Linked DNA regions of Rattus norvegicus. The protein of the gene in region 2 interacts with the protein of the main gene of each other region in a pairwise test. Links are inferred from orthologs where the notes say so. Each region holds a gene or a part of one and is shown on either strand. Other genes may lie near its edges.

The links.
Region 1: the proteins of Sdcbp2 (region 2) and Zcchc17 interact in binary tests that used the Homo sapiens proteins (3 or more experiments, as listed by UniProt). The two-hybrid records come from large-scale screens. The link is inferred for Rattus norvegicus from reciprocal best matches to the Homo sapiens genes SDCBP2 and ZCCHC17.

Annotation. Positions count from the first base shown.
Region 1 is NC_086023.1:147,939,659-147,948,094, forward strand, and holds the end of Zcchc17 (zinc finger CCHC domain-containing protein 17), read right to left. Parts: intron 4,527-8,436; coding exon 4,365-4,526; 3' UTR 3,131-4,364; downstream 1-3,130. Other genes in the region: Fabp3 (fatty acid-binding protein, heart), read left to right, coding at 46-218, 1,692-1,862.
Region 2 is NC_086021.1:160,548,721-160,556,360, reverse strand, and holds part of Sdcbp2 (syntenin-2), read right to left. Parts: intron 7,041-7,640; coding exon 6,959-7,040; intron 6,189-6,958; coding exon 6,088-6,188; intron 2,074-6,087; coding exon 1,915-2,073; intron 1,358-1,914; coding exon 1,182-1,357; intron 1,103-1,181; coding exon 931-1,102; intron 1-930.

The DNA.
Region 1 (8,436 bases), on a different chromosome or scaffold from region 2:
TCTATCTTAGCTAATGGAGTCTCAACCTTCTGCCCCTGCCCTTAGGTGTGGGCTTTGCCACCAGACAGGTGGCTAGCATGACCAAGCCGACCACAATCATTGAGAAGAATGGGGATACCATCACCATAAAGACACACAGTACCTTCAAGAACACAGAGATCAGCTTTCAGCTGGGAGTAGAGTTTGACGAGGTCACAGCAGATGACAGGAAGGTCAAGGTGAGTCAGAGAAAGGGGTTTGGATAGTAAGAAGCTGGTTCTCTTAGCATCTTGGCTTTTTACCCCAAGGGGCAGGTTCATAAAGCCTGCTCAGTGCTGGGATGGCTCAGGGACTAAGTACAAACTCTGGCCTATTCTCTTCTCACCTTCCTGGGAAGGATCTGTCAGCTGTCACTGGAGTGGGCAGCAGAGCCAAGATATTCTTCCGACCTTGTGTCTCCAGCTCCAGCTGGGTGACCTTGTACACCAAGGTAGGCAGCAGCTCCGAGGACATCAGTCATGGCTGTGACCTGAAGTGCTTTAGGAGTGATGCCCAGAAGTCAGTGCCCTACACCGAGGTCATCCTGGCTCTGGCAGCAAAGGAGGCAGCTGGGAACAAAAAAACTGAGCTCTATCCTGAGATTTCCCGTTCTGTAGATCCCAGGCTAGACCACTGACCAGGACAAACTGTTTCCAGTGCCACCAGCTGACAGGCAGAGCTGTGCTCTAGAACCTGCATTTACCAATCTGAGTGCTGTGGGTGTCTGTAGTCTCCGTACTTATTTCAGGGGATCGGAGGGAGCGCCTGCCTCCAGTGTTACTCCGTTAACTCATGGTGGTTGTCTTGGCAGCTTGCTTCCTCCACATCTCCCAGCACTGGGCCAGGCACAGAACCAAGTAACGCTTTTATCTATAGGTTGTCCCTATACCGTATCCTCTGCATCACGACTCTAAAACTTATCTCTTCAGCTACTCCCTCCTCACAGTTGCCCCCAGAAAGAACAGGGAAGGTTCTAGTCTTGCAGATGCAGAGGACCAGGACCACACAGCATGCTGGCTTTGGAGATGGGGAAGGCGCCCTGCTCCATCATGTCTCCCTACCTACATCCGGGAACTTGCCATCTTTCTGCGGGACCAGATCCCACATTAAATACAACAGTGGTCCACTGGGATGTTTGGAGAACGGGGAATGAAGATTCCAGAAGGTGGAATATAGACAGAAAAGAGCCGCCATCTTTCTAGAGTCCTACCAACAAACCCTGCTTAGTTCTCCTTCTGACCTACAACTCCCAGGTTCCTAGAGAAGACAGATCTGGCACAGCTGCCCAACACAAACTAGCTGAGATAGGCTGGCAGCACTAAGGAGCAAATGGTCACTGGAGTTAGAGCTGGAGAACACTCCAAGGATACCCAGGTCCTCGTCCAAGGACCTTGCGATTGCTGCTCTTTTGCCAGTTAAGGGAGGTCACGTGATATAAAGGGAAGTCTAATTTTCCAATATATCCCAAGGCTGAGCTGCCTGCCTCCTCCATTGCCTGAGGGCCCCTCCTCTGCCGAGCGGCCAGAGCAGGAAGCCTGTGCAGCCGGGTTGGAGGTGGGCTTTCTGGATGCCGATCCCAGCACCATCACCGGTTAGGTTCCTGGTCTGTCTGGGCTTGTCTTGCCCTTCTGTTCTGGCTCTGGTCACAACTTAGGCTCTCCCTCTTTCTACAGTCGGTCGTGACACTGGACGGAGGCAAACTGGTCCATGTGCAGAAGTGGGACGGGCAGGAGACTACGCTTACACGGGAACTAAGTGATGGGAAACTCATCCTGGTAAGATGGGCAACGACAGGAACCGTGCCTTCCTCAGGCCAGGGCCTTCCTGGGGTCGGGAGGAAGTAGGACGAGAGGCGGGGATGGGGTCATGGCTGTCACAGGTCTTGGTTCAAGCCTCAGCCTAAAAGCTATCTGACTCTGGACACGTAACCTTCTTTAACGGCCACTAGGATGCGTACAGTGACTGGAGCCTGGAGGCTACTGGAAGGCCAGTGTATTCATAGCCCAAAGCCCAGCCAAGCAGGAAGGATGCAGCAGCTGCCCACAAATGGTTCCTCCTGCTTGTGTTCCCGGGAGGAGGCAGAAAGCAGGGCCAATTGATCCCAGGAGGGGAGCAGCTGCCACTCTGTCTTCCTGAGTAGGAATGCAGGCATCTGCAGGAGCAAGTGTGTGCCTGACTGGCACTGCCGGGAGCACCCCCTCCTTATTCATGCTTTGTCTACTGTTCCTGGCTTCCTGAAAACATCTATTGTCTAGAGAGGAGGTGATACAACCAGGCCTGTAGATCTGCTTTGGGATAAGTTTGAGAGCATCCTTAGAATATAGTAGCCTTGGAGGACTGCACCTGGGCCAGGAGCATGGACCACAAAGTCAGTACCACAGCCCTTGGTGGCTCCGTGGAACCTGCTGATTGTGTATTCACACGAGACTGGGGTCCCCTCTGAGTCAGAAGTCAGGTGCCTAGTTCTGGAAGGGAGGAAACAAACAGGACCATTTCACCGGGTAATAGAGTAAGAGGAGGCCATGGCTGGTCTCTACTGAGCCTGAATACTGGATGGTCAGGGAGGAAGGGAAAGTTGGTAGCTTAGTTCCTCAAGGCTCTGGCTGCTCTTATCACCAGTTTGTCTGCCTTGCACCAGACACCCCCTTAGGCAGGTGCTGAACATAAAAGAGGAACAGGAATGTACTGGATCCTGACCAATTTACCTCTTTCAAGGGTCTATTTTCCCCCCAAATCTCTAAAATGGTAATTATAACATCTACCTTAAAAGATCTGCATCAGAAAAAAAGAAAAAAAAAAGAAAAAGGAAAGCGCCTGGCGCACAGGGGTCCCCAAGTGCAGCTCAGGATGAGGGTGGGGAGTGCTCCCTCTCCTGCTCTGCCCCATCTGACCCTGTCTTTCCTTGCAGACTCTCACCCATGGCAATGTGGTGAGCACTCGGACTTACGAGAAGGAGGCGTGACCTGGCTGCCCCGTCACTGACTGCTCCTCTGCCAATGGCTACCCCTAACTCAGCACCACGTTGCCTCATGTTTCTCCCCTCTGACGTTTTATATAAATACTCTTTGGTTGGGCTTTTCCTGGAGATATGGGACACCAGCCTGGACCCAGGTCCCATTGTGTATGTGGTTTATTTTTTAAAACTGTATCCAAAGGGTGCTCCAAGGTCAATAAAGCAGAGCCAAGGCCACCCAGTTGCCTCTGCCTTTGGTCTTCTTTCCTGTGTGTCAGTGCTGAAGTGAAGGCCTGCAGGTCACCTGGGAAGCAGGGCTGATAAGGAGCTGAGTGGACAGTCTCGGGCTCAGTGCGGAGACAGCAGCACCTATGCGAGCCTTTGCACTGACCCGCCCCTGCTCAGAGGAGCTGGCTGTCACTGAGTGGCTACTTCACATCCATCCTGCACACAACAGTCCTGGATTAGCTACGTGGTATGCTGTGGTCACCCTCTCTTTGGAGTACAAGTTCAGGACATCAAGGTCCACGCGTGGACCACTATGGTGGGAGGTGACTGCTAAGAGCCACACACTCATCATGCCCAGCAAGTCCTCAGGTTACAAACACTGGTTTCCTAGTCAGCCCAGGGGAAAGAGGTCTTCACTGTGGAAGAGAGGATTTATAAGTAATCTCAAGAAAGCTGTGACCTGCTAGTGGCCTTGGCTTTGTGCCTCTGCTTGGCCTCTTTCCAGGGTCTTGGATAACATATTAAGTGTTTTCTGTGAACTGATGTGTTAAGTCTCTAAGTCACCCAGGAAGGATTATAGGAATGAAGCCTTCTGCAAAGTTTAAAACCAAACACGTTTCCAGTTATGCCAGGAATTTAAGCAGAGGCCTGAAATGGAACCAGTCAGTCACACAGTGATAGAAGCAGAGCAATGACCTTGGCTACAGATCTCTGGTTCAGCGGTCACTGCAAACACTGTCCTCCTCACAGGCCCTGGCTGAGCGAATAGAGGCCGCAGAGTCCACCCACAACCACCCCAGACAGCAGGCAGGTCAGGGTGGCTCTTCCGCCACAGCCAGGCTCACCTCCACAGTAGCACCTGTGGCTCCAGCACAGACTCCTGCAACGGAATCCAGCTCTGGCAGTGGCAGCCGGGGTGGTACTAGACCCTTCTGCTGAATGAAGAAACTGAGCTCGTGAATGCGATGGGTGCAGGGGTCACTTGCAAAGGGATCAGGAGCAACAAGGAAAAACCATTTTGGGAGCTGCCCTCTGGCTCCCCAATCTGCTTGCTGCATGAGGAAAAGCCATCCGAGACCATGGGGACAGAGTCAGTGGGGTAGGAGGCCACATTCTCACTAGTAAGTCTTTGCAGGAGCCAAGGCTGCTGCGGCCTGCTCCACCATCATTCCTTGTGCTTCTTCTTGTGTTTCTTCTTCTTCTTTTTCTTCTTTGGAGCCTTGCTGTCTTTTGCTGTGTGCCTCGCCTTCTTGCCCGTGTCACTCTCAGAGTCAGGGCTATCACAGTCAGACGACTTCCTGTCTCTATGTTTCTTCTTCTTCTTTTCCTAAGAGGGAAATGTAAAGTTTCAACACTCGTGTGTCTGTCTCTCACATCGAAACCCCAGCGGTGACCACCAGGTAAACTACAGCTGTCTGTGGTGCTGCCTGCAATTCTAGCAGTGGGGAAGAGGGGACAGGGACGTGAGGATTTCAAGGTCAGGCAGAACTGCATAAGCCCTTGCAAAAAGAAACCAGGGTAGAGTGGTGCATGCCTGCAATCGCAGTGCTACAGAGGCAGATTTGGGGGAGTGTACATCGGGAGCTCCAGACCGGCCAGACTAAAATAAAAAGGCAGCAAAATCCCAAACGCGAGGGAGAACTAAGACACACAGCACTTGTAGACTTCTATCTTATTTGAACCACAGTGAAAGTGTGCTCATGTATACAACATAGACACGCCACTATGCACGCGAGCGTGTGTGTGTGTGTGTGCGCGCGCGAGCACACACACACACACACACACACACACACACACACACACACACCTGTGCAGGTAGTGCCCTTAGACTCCCCTGAGGCTAGAGTTAGTTGTACGTGGTTGTGAGACGCCCAATGTGGGTTCTGGGAACTGAACTTGAATAGCACTTCTCCAGCCCAGTGTTTTTTTTTTTTTTTCTTGTTGTTTTTTAAAAACAAGCAACTAGTCTTTTTCATTTGTTTTTGAGACAAGGTTTCTCTGTGTGGCCTTGGCTGTCCTAGAACTCACGCTATAGACCAGGCTGGCCTAGAATTCAGAGATCTGCCTGCCTCTGCTGGGATTAAAGGTATTTGTTTAAGTACTTGTTGGGCACGGTAGATCTCAGTGAGTTCTTGGCCAGCCTGATATACATAGTGAGTTCCAAGATAACAACAGCTGTGGAAAGAGACTCTGTCTCAAAACAAGTAAGTTTAGATCAGTCCTTTTAATGGTTAAAGTATCAGGAAAAACAAGTATTTTTGGGGGAGGAGTTTTTGAAGCAGGGTCTCATGTAGTTGAGTTGATCCTCCCGCCTAGCTTCCAGAATGCTGGAACTGCATGAGTGTACTACCAAGTCAGCCGTTTGCATTCTTTGGGAGAACGTGTACCCTAGGCTTTTCTCTCTACTGCAATTGTTATATTTATAAGTGAATGTGTGTGTATGTGTGTGTGTGCGCGCACACACACACACATACACACACACACACACACACACACACTCACACACTCTGCACTCCATAGCCCACAAGTGGCAGTTAGAGGACAGCTTTCAAGGGTTGGTTCTCTCCCACCAACTCAGGTCTCAGCTTGAGCAACACCACTGGCCCCTGCGCTATCCTTTTTAGTAAAAAACATCTTCATAAGCAAGTTTACTCTGCAGAGTATGCCATGGGAGGTCCAGAACCCTGGAGGGGTGAGGAGCTGCCACAGAGGATGGGGAACAGTCCTGATCCCCTGGTGGATGCCACTGCGATTCAAACGTGACCCTTCCCCTTAAAAGTAGCCTCCACTGACGTGCTAGCAATGGAAAAATAGCCTCTCTTCCCCCTAATTGGTAATAACTATCATGAGCTGCAAGTGGTTGGTATAAAGGAGCTTCGGAGGGAGCATGATCACGTGACTTTTCCTCACAAAGAAAGGGCAAGAGCTGTGAAAAGAAGCAGAATGTGCCAGAAAGTCTGCAGAGGTAAACAAACATTTCACATCTCTTTTTTCCCACAAGGGGGGAGAGTTCCTACAGTTAGACACCCTACACACAACCATGTCACCAGCGCTAACAGCACAAACCCAGAGTTGGTAGGTTGGTTCCCAGGCTCCTGTGGGGCAACCTGGGTAGTTCTTCACACTGAATAAGCTGCCTCCTTGAATTAAGTACCTACAGTGCCTCAGCAAAGCTCCTAAGAGGAGACTACAGGAGGAGGGCGGGAGAACAGAGCAGAGAAGCTCCTGCAGGCTTTTGTAGCCAGCATCCTGCAAGCCTGTTTGCTTGGGCCATCCACCCTGAGGTGATGGGAGGGAACAGCAAGCCAGGTGTCACGTAGACCCAGGTGTCACGCAGACCCAAGCCTGAGCTCTACTCTGCAGTCTTGGCCAGTCATCTCACCTCACTGAGGTCTAGCGCTTCAGACAGAGAACAGCTAAGAATAGCACCCACAGCACACGCTCTGATGACTCAATGAAACAGTATCCACGGCCTGGAGAAGTGAGAAGCGCTTGTCCCACATTACAGAGGTTGGACTCTGCATGCAGATGACGGGAGGATGTATCTCCCAGGAGCACTGTCCTCCTCACTCTGTACACCAGGTTGGCTCAAATTCAGAGACCCGCCTGCCTCTGCCTTTTGGGCTCTAGGATCAAAGGTATGTGCACCACCACCTGACTCAAACTAAGGTCTTGACAGCTTCTCTAGTGTCTCTCACCTCAGATCTTTCAGGTACAGTCCAATCTTGATGCGGTCGTTATCAGTTCCCTCCCCTGCCATTCATCCAATCTCTCACCTGACTGTCAGCTCTGCCTTCAAATCTACATTAGATCCTGTCTCGTCCTCTCTACCACAGTCATGACAGCACACTCCAGGCATCTTTGTCAACTGGCCTGAAGACAACTGGCCTTGCTTTCTGACCTGCACGTTTTCACATAGTAGCCAGAAAAATTATCTTTTTTAAAAAAGATTTATTTAATATATATGAGTACACTGTAGCTGTCTTCAGACACACCAGAAAAGGGCATCAGATCCCATTACAGATGGTTGTGAGCCACCATGTGGTTGCTAGGATTTGAACTCAGGACCTCTGCAGGAGCAATCAGTGCTCTTAACCACTGAGCCATCTCTCCAGCCCCCGAAAAATTATCTTAAAAGGGAAGACAGAAGCAGGTGGACCTCTGTGAATTCAAGGCCAAGCTGGTCTACACAGTAAGTTCTGGGTCAGCCATCACTACACAGTGAGACTATCAGGTCATGTCCTTGCACTGCTGAAAAGCTCTATTTAGAAAATGAATTTCCTACAACCAGCAGCCAGCCCTCTGTAGTGTCTAGGCCTCCTTGTCAGCCACTCACTCTGTACTACCTATACAGCCTCCACATTCTCCTGATGAGTGCCAAGCTCACTCCCAGCACCCAGCTACTTCAATGCTGCAGATAACATTCTGATCCAAATAATCCTCTCTTATTTTATTTTATTTTTTTGAGACAAGGCCTTGCTATGCAGCCCAGATAGGCCTTGACCTTGGAGTCCCCCAGCCACAGCCTCTCATGCTGGGACTACAGCATCGCACGTGGTTTCAGATGATAGTCTCTAAGAGTACCACCCTATCTACAATGGCAATAAAGGGCGGGCTGGGCTGTGGCCCAGTGGCAGAGCACGGGCCTACCATGCACAAGGTGCTGGGACCAGTGCCACATAGTAAACATCCCAGAGCTCTTTCTCCATGGCACTTGCCCTATCTGGTGTATTAAGGTCTCACTGTGTTTGCTTACATCTCTTCCATTAGACCACAATGCGACAACAGCAGGCCATTTCCTCATTGTGCCCCTCAGTGACTGGAACAGAAGCTCACTCGTGCATGAAGCTGAAGTACAGTGTGTGTGGAGAGAATGGCGGGAGATGACATCATACTGCAGAAGTGGATTAGTGTACCTGGGTGTACGCTCAGTATCTGGTAGATACAGACAGCAAGGCCAGGTGCTTACGGTCATCCTCCACTACACAGGGAGCTGGAGGCCAGACCACGTCCCAAAGTAGGAGTGGGTAGGGGAGGCAGGAGGATGGCTCGGCAGGATGAGCACTTACTGTACAAACCTGGTGACCCGAGTTCATCCCCAGAACCCACAGAAGAGGAAGGAGAGAGCCAACTCTACGACGTTGTCCTCTGACCTCTGACCCCTGACACAGGCTGTGGCACATGCATGCCGTCAAACACACCATAACACTGAAATAATTAACGTGTTTTTTTAAAAA
Region 2 (7,640 bases):
TCCAGATCTATAGCATGTGCCTAAAGCCATGCGCACCTTCTCGCTTCGTAAAGATATAATTCATCTGCCCTCCCCGAAGAGTAAGCCGAGGTCGGAAATGGATTTCTAAGTCAGTATTTTAGAGGAGACACCATTACTGACTGTGATCAGCATCCACAGAGAAGTGCCACAAGGAGGAGGAGGAGGAAGAGGAGGAAGAGGAAAAGGAGGAAGAGGAGGAAGAAGAGGAAGAAGAGGAGGAGGAGGAAGAGGAGGATGAAGAGGAAGAAGAGGAGGAGGAGGAAGAGGAGGAGGAAGAGGAGGAAGAAGAGGAGGAGGAGGAAGAGGAGGAGGAAGAGGAGGAAGAGGAAGGAGGAGGAGGAAGAGGAGGAAGAAGAGGAGGAGGAGGAGGAGGAGGAAGAGGAGGAAGAAGAGGAGGAAGAAGAGGAGGATGAAGAGGAGGAAGAGGAGGAGGAAGAGGAGGAAGAAGAGGAGGAGGAGGAAGAGGAGGAGGAAGAGGAGGAAGAGGAGGAAGAAGAGGAAGAGGAGAAGGAGGAAGAGGAGGAAGAGGAGGAGGAGGAAGAAGAGGAGGATGAAGAGGAGGAAGAGGAGGATGAAGAGGAGGAAGAGGAGGAAGAGGAGGAGGATGAAGAGGAAGAGGAGGAGGAGGAGGAGGAAGAGGAAGAAGAGGAGGAGGTGGTAGTGGTGATGTCTTTGTGGCCAGCAGCCAGAACAAATTCTTACTAGGCATCTACTCATTCTGATTAACATTGCTCAGAGCTGCACACATGAAGTCATACTGAAGCCTGCATCAAGCTTAGGATGGGGAAGTTGAGGCTCCGGCAGGTTTCACAGATTATGCAGACAGGAGCTATCCCACCCTCATCATCTCAACGGTGCCAACATTTCCTGACAGAAATGTACACCTGACAGAGGTACACCACCGCCTACCTTTAGCCCAATGACGTTCTGTCCGTTCACCTCACACACGTAGTGGTTCGTTAGAAGTCCATTGCGGGCTGCAGAGCTTCCCTTGACCACAGAGACAATCTTCCCCTTTTTGATGAAGAAGCCAACTTGACCTGAGCTGTCTTTGTGCATGGTGACAGTCCGCTGGAACGGCCTGGTAAAGAGTGACAGTAAGCTGGGTGTTCAGGTGTGGCTGGGCCAGGCAGGGAGGATGCTGGGGACTGGACACTGACCTGTCCCGTACAACCATGACGATCTTCTCTGCTGATGCCTTCTTCAATGCTTTCTGAGCTTTGTGTGTGCTCCACCCAGCACAGTCACAGCCATCGATCTGCAGGATCTGGTCCCCAAAGCGCAATCCCACAAGGGATGCTGGGGTGTTGGCCTGGACCAGCTGCACAAAGAGCCCCTGGAAGGCAGGACCCAGAGTCAGCCACCCTCCTCTATGATCTTCTTTCCCCATATCCTGTGAGCTTATAGTGTAGTGGAACCCAAGATCTGTAAGGGATACACAGGTTACCCCTATTTTCCTGGAAGAGGAAACACAGCAGACCACACAGAGTAAGCTGAATCACAATTTCAGCACCATGATCAATTCTCCCTAAAGATGTCTGGCTGCTTTTCTCTACAGTCATCAGGAAGCCAGACCCACAGGAATTAGGGCACAGGAAAAGGGGGTGAGGATAGGGGACTCTTGAGTGGCAGGAGTCTTGTATGGGACTGATCCCTGCAGCAACAAGGCACAATCTCGAGGCCTCAGATATTAAGACGCCTTTTCAGAATCTTCTTTGCTGTGAACAGAGGCTCTCTGAGTCCTGGAAGAGGAGGCCCCTACATACTAATGCCATCTCAGGCTGCTGGGTGGCTGTCCCAAAGGGGAACTTGTATTCCTGGGGCTGTGACAGGGCTATCTAGCACCAGAGGAGCACAGTCTCCTGCAGGGACTCCACTCCAGACATTGCTTACCTTGTCAACAGCCTGCAGACGCAGTCCAGTCTTGCCCCGCTCATCCTTGCACAGGTGGATCTCTCGCACACCAGGCTTGATCTCTGCACGCAGGACACCTAGGTCGTTCCCAGATACTGGCGCTGTCACCTGGCCAGGTCCAGGGCTAGTGATCACCATCTGCAGGCACAGTAGTGGGAGTGGGGGTCATCCAAGCACTAGGGCCCATGCCTTGAGGGTCACTGAGTTCTAGGTAGGGATGAGTAAAGTGGACTGAAACTCCCTGAGTTCCCCTCTTACACACTTGGCAGAGGCTGAGAGAAAATGGAGCTCGATGAAACTTGTAGAGAGCATCAAAATCCACACCCCTAAACATGAGAGGAGGGAGAGAGGAAGCTGGGTTCAGGGAGGGGTCACTGTATTTTCCAAGGGAAATTAATATCAAGAAAAGACGCACTTAGATTTCACTTTTAAAAAAAAAGCCATTTTCACAGTAAATAGTGAGCTGTCAAAGGTGGATGACAGGGCTAGTTTTGACTTTGTCTTGGACAAAATAATCTGATTCAAAACTTAAAATGAACAAAAGTCCCCTCCTATGGATATCCAAAAGCTGCCCAGTCTCACCAGACACTGGACTGGACAATCTGGCCAGTGCAATGAGGCAAGAAAACAGAAAAGATCACACAGGATGGAAAGATACAATCGCTCCTGTTGACGCCATGATCGTCCACTAGAATGTCTGCAGAAATCTAAAACTCCTAACTATAAGTGAAATACAAACATTCCTCAAGGTCTAGAATTCATTGTCAGCATACGAAAATCAACTGTGCTGGGATGGGGACCTCACACCTGTAGTCTTCTTCTCTTTTTTTTTTTTTCTTTTTTTTTTCCAGAGCTGGGGACCGAACCCAGGGCCTTGCGCTTGCTAGGCAAGCGCTCTACCACTGAGCTAAATCCCCAACCCCCACACCTGTAGTCTTAACTACCAATGAGGCTGAGGCAAGAGGTTCACTCAAACTCAGGAGTCAAAAGTCAGCCTGAGCCACGGACTCAACTATTTATCTACACCCTGACCAACCTCCCCCCAAAAGGCAGAAAAAAAAAATGAGATATGTGTGAATCTAACGAGACATATGTAGAGACTATATACCGAAGGTGACAAAAATCTAGGATGCAGAAACGTTTCAGACCTAAGTAAACATTGTTTCCTGGTTATGCACACAGGAAGAGCTAGCAAAGCCTCGGACACAAAGGACGTTTCTATGAAGGCTCTGCGGGCTGTTTTGGATACAGGTAAGGTCCCCTAGCTTTAGGTAGAAAGACAAAGGGATGTGAGTAATGACATTTACTCAGACAAAAGACAAAATGTGAGAAACCACACAAACACACCAGGATGTCTCTTGTCACAGTATCCAAGGCTTCGGATTCTAGATACCTCAGTCAACAGCTATCTGGGAAATCCAGAGAGATCCTTACTGAGGGGAGCATGGGTGCTCTGTGGCAGAGGTCGAGGTCAGTTGGGGGTAGGGGACTATCTCAACAAGATCTACTACAGCAACGGACAGGCAGGGGCAAAAATAGGAACCACGACATAAACTGCACACTTTCCCCAAAAATCTACTCAAATTCAATTATAAAGTTAAATGTAAACAAAACCGTAGTAATTTCAGCACAATGTAAAAGAGAAAATCTTTAGGACTCAGGGCTTAGGGAAATTTTCTTTATAAAGCAAACTCAAAAGAAGTATGGGGAAAAAACCTTGACCTCATTAAAATTAAAAGGTTTTCCCCTCCTCTGTCAAGGAGATAACGAGCTAAACCTAAGACTTGGTGTGGTATTTACAACTCATGTATCTGACAAGGACCCCAGATTATAAAACATAACCCCTAAAGCCAACATTTAAAAGTCCAATTAAAATGCATGAAATGGGGCTGGTGATTTGGCTCGGCCTGGAGAGTGTACAAGGTTTAATCCCCAACACCACACAGACCAGGTGTGGTTCACACCCGGAGCCCCAGCACTTGAGAGCTGGAAGCAGGAGGGTCAGAAGTTCAAGAACAGCCTGGCCAGACCTTGTCTCATGCAGTGGGGACATAATCAGATATTCCATATCACTAACCATTAGGAGAATGCAGGTGAAGACCTGTCATAACTCGTGATGATGCCAAGTGCTGGGGAGGATGTCAAGGCACTGGGTATATTTGGCACCACTGGCAGGGGAGGGGAATGCACAGACAGCCCCTCCAGAAGATAGCCTGAGAGCAGCTGCCTGTGAACACTCATTTACCACATTGTGTGATGACTGTATTCCAGCCTGCTATGTCATAAATGCCTTCGTATATAAGACTAAGAAACTGTAAAAAGGAGTAAGAAAAAAAAAAGGAGTGCCAATTATGTGTGCATGGGGACCTGAATTCAGAGTCTTAGAACCCACATAAAAAGCTGGGGAACTGGGGAGACAGACAGGCAGATCCCTGCCATTCAGTACTCAGCCTGGATGAATCAATGAGCTTCAGGCCCAACGAGAGACCCTGTCTCAAAAAATAAAGATGAGAAGAGACAGAACAAGACATCGACCCTAGTCTACACCCACATGGACATATAACACAGACCTACAACATAACACATGTATACAACAACACATATACAACATCCTAATCTACACCCACATGCACATATAACACAGACCCACCACAGACCCACAACATAACCCACAACATAACACATACATACAACAACACGTATACAACATCCTAGTCTATACCCACATGCGCATATAACACAGACCCACCACAGACCCACAACATAACCCACAACATAACACATACATACAACAACATGTATACAACATCCTAGCCTACACCCACATGCACATATACCACAGATACATGACATAACACAAGCATACGACATCCCCTAAGAGTCATCGTTTCTGATGTATGCTTAGATAACATTCAGAAATGATAAAATTATTCAGACAGAAAAACAAAGTTGGGAGAACAAGGCTAGGAGTGTGGCACAGTGGTAGAACAGTTGCCCAACATCCGTGAGTTTCTGAGTACTGCCAAAGGGGGGGAGGGAGGGGGAAGAGGAAGAGGAAGGAATGAAAAAAGAGAAATTGGGCTGGAGAGATGGCTCAGCGGTTGAGAGCACTGACTGCTCTTCCAGAGGTCCTGAGTTCAAATCCCAGCAACCACATGGTGGCTCACAACCATCTGTAATGAGATCTGATGCCCTCTTCTGATGTGTCTGAAGACAGCTGCAGTGTACTTATATATAATAAATAAAATCTTTAAAGAGAGGGAGAGAGAGAGAGAGAGAGAGAGAGAGAGAGGTTGCCAGGGGCTAGGGAGGATGTAGGTGTGACCACGAAGGTGGATAGGATAGGAGGAGCGCTTTCTGAAGAGGGACGGTCCTGTCTTTAGATGGGTGAGTGACTGTCTTCATTTGAACAGGGGTAAGCTGACAGAGCTATAGACACACACTCTACTAGTGTAAGTTGTTAGTCTTGCTACTGTACTGCGGATGTGAAAGCTACACTTGATGAAATAGACAGTTTGTCTTTGCAACCTCCTAGGACCCTCTACTTAAAAACAAAAACACTTTAAACATGGAAAGTAATTACAGTGATAAAAATTGCCAAGTGTAGGGCTGGAGAGAGGCTGCTTAGCAGTGAAGACCATCTGGTGCTCTTGCAAAGGACCCAGCACCCACATGGTGGCTCACAACCTTCTGTAACTCTAGATCAAGCGATCTGACATCCTCGTCTGGCTTCCTTGGGTACCAATCACACATGTAGTACACATACATACAGGCAATCATATACATAAAAATAAAACAAATCTTTTTCAAAGGCCACCAAGGTGGGGGTGTTTAATTTCAGCACTTGGAAGGCAGAAGCAGGCAGATTTCTATGACTTTGAAGCCGTTTGGGTCTCCATAGCCAGTTCCAGGTTAGCCAAGGCTACATAGTGAGACACAGTCTTTAAAAAAAAAAGTAGCAATCATAATTTAGAACAAGTACATCTGGGTCCTAATTAATGGTAGAAAGAATGTCTGGGTTGACATACACACACACACACACACACACACACACACACACACACACACACACACACACACACACCTTTTAAAATAGCAAGACCAGAAGGTAGGAAATTTAGTGGCCACATAAGGCAGAAGACAAATACCTACATTGTCACCATCTGGAATCTGAGACAGATTCTTCTGAACTTCTTGGCTAGAGAGGGACAGTCCCATATAACTTTCCAGTTCTGCTAGGTTTGGATACAGCTCTGATGGGAAGGAAGAGACAAGGTATCACTTGGGCTTATGCAGAGCCACCTTGGCTGGCCCAGGGCCACTCTTTTTCTGTGAAACTAGGAAAGATTACCCTGATCGCCTGATTATGTCATGTGTCCCAGGGATGCTTGCCAATGGCATGAGCCAGCTCTGCTGAAGACTTGAAGCACCTTTGTCTAGGAGCAGCCTCAGACACTGAGACCCCCCTATGCTGCTGAGGTGCTCACCTCAGCTGCTTTGACACCCATTGGAAAATTAACACAAAGCCACAGCAGGTGCAAAGACCACTAGGGCCATGACAGGGGCAGCTCAAGGAGACAGCAGAGTTCTGACAAGAGGAACAAGAGGCCCTAATTTAAGCTTCTCTCACAGAACTGACTCACGATTGCTTTGAGTTTCTTTATGGGCTATCTCAAACATCTGGTCTCCCCAAAATGGCCTGACCATCCATGCCGGCACCAGATCAGACCATTTCTGCCTCAGTAGGTCAGTTTCCCCAGGGTTTTCTCAAAGGGTGAAGGTTAATTGTATGTGAGCCCCCACTAAAGAGACAGGTGAGAAGCAGGCATTGAGAAGTGGTCAGAATACTGGGCCATAGCCTCAGAGTCAGCATAGTTCACACACCCAGAAGTGGGCCTGCCCAGCCCTGGGACCAGGAGCTCAAAAGTTCCCTTCTACGCCTGAGTGACAGGTCCAGCATTGCAGGGGTGTGTGATAGTGTTGAGGCTGTCATTGTATGAACACTGGGGTCAGGTTCACTCACCTGAGAGTGGGGGTGCAGAGGCCATCGAAGCTGGCAGAGTGGGCATCACAGTGGGCATCATGGGTGAGGCTCTGGCCTGGGCCTGAAAAAAAGAACATGAAGTCTTGCTCACCTGTGGCTTGGATCCCAGGAACTCTTGGAGCCTGGGACTCTCTGTGGCAGGGACTCTGAGCATTGAGTATGATTCTAGACTTGTGGTGGCGGTGTATCCTGGAACCCTCAAGGCTCCAGACTGTAAATGTAGCCTCTACATATATACACCAAAAGACTGCATGTGCTCCTTCACTTGGAGCGTGCTCTCGGAGCTAAACGGATGTGCTATAGCACGTAGGGTAACTGTAGTTTACAGTCAGCAATCACTAATGTTTCAAAACAGCTAGTTGAGAGGAGTTTGAGTGTTCCAACCCAAAGAACTGATATAAATCTGAAATGACGGATGTGTCAGCCGCCCTGATCTGAGCAGTACAGTGTGCACACAGGTTGAAATGTCACATGTACCCCCATGATTATGTATAGTCACAAAGTGTTAATTAAAAACCAAAACTGTATTTTTTGTAATGTGGCCTCTCAGGGGCCAGGGAGATGGCTCAGTGGTCAAGAGCACTTGCTGCTTTTGCAGTGGATCTAAGTTCAGTTCCCAGCACCCACATCGCAACTGACAACCATCTACAGCTGGCGTTTC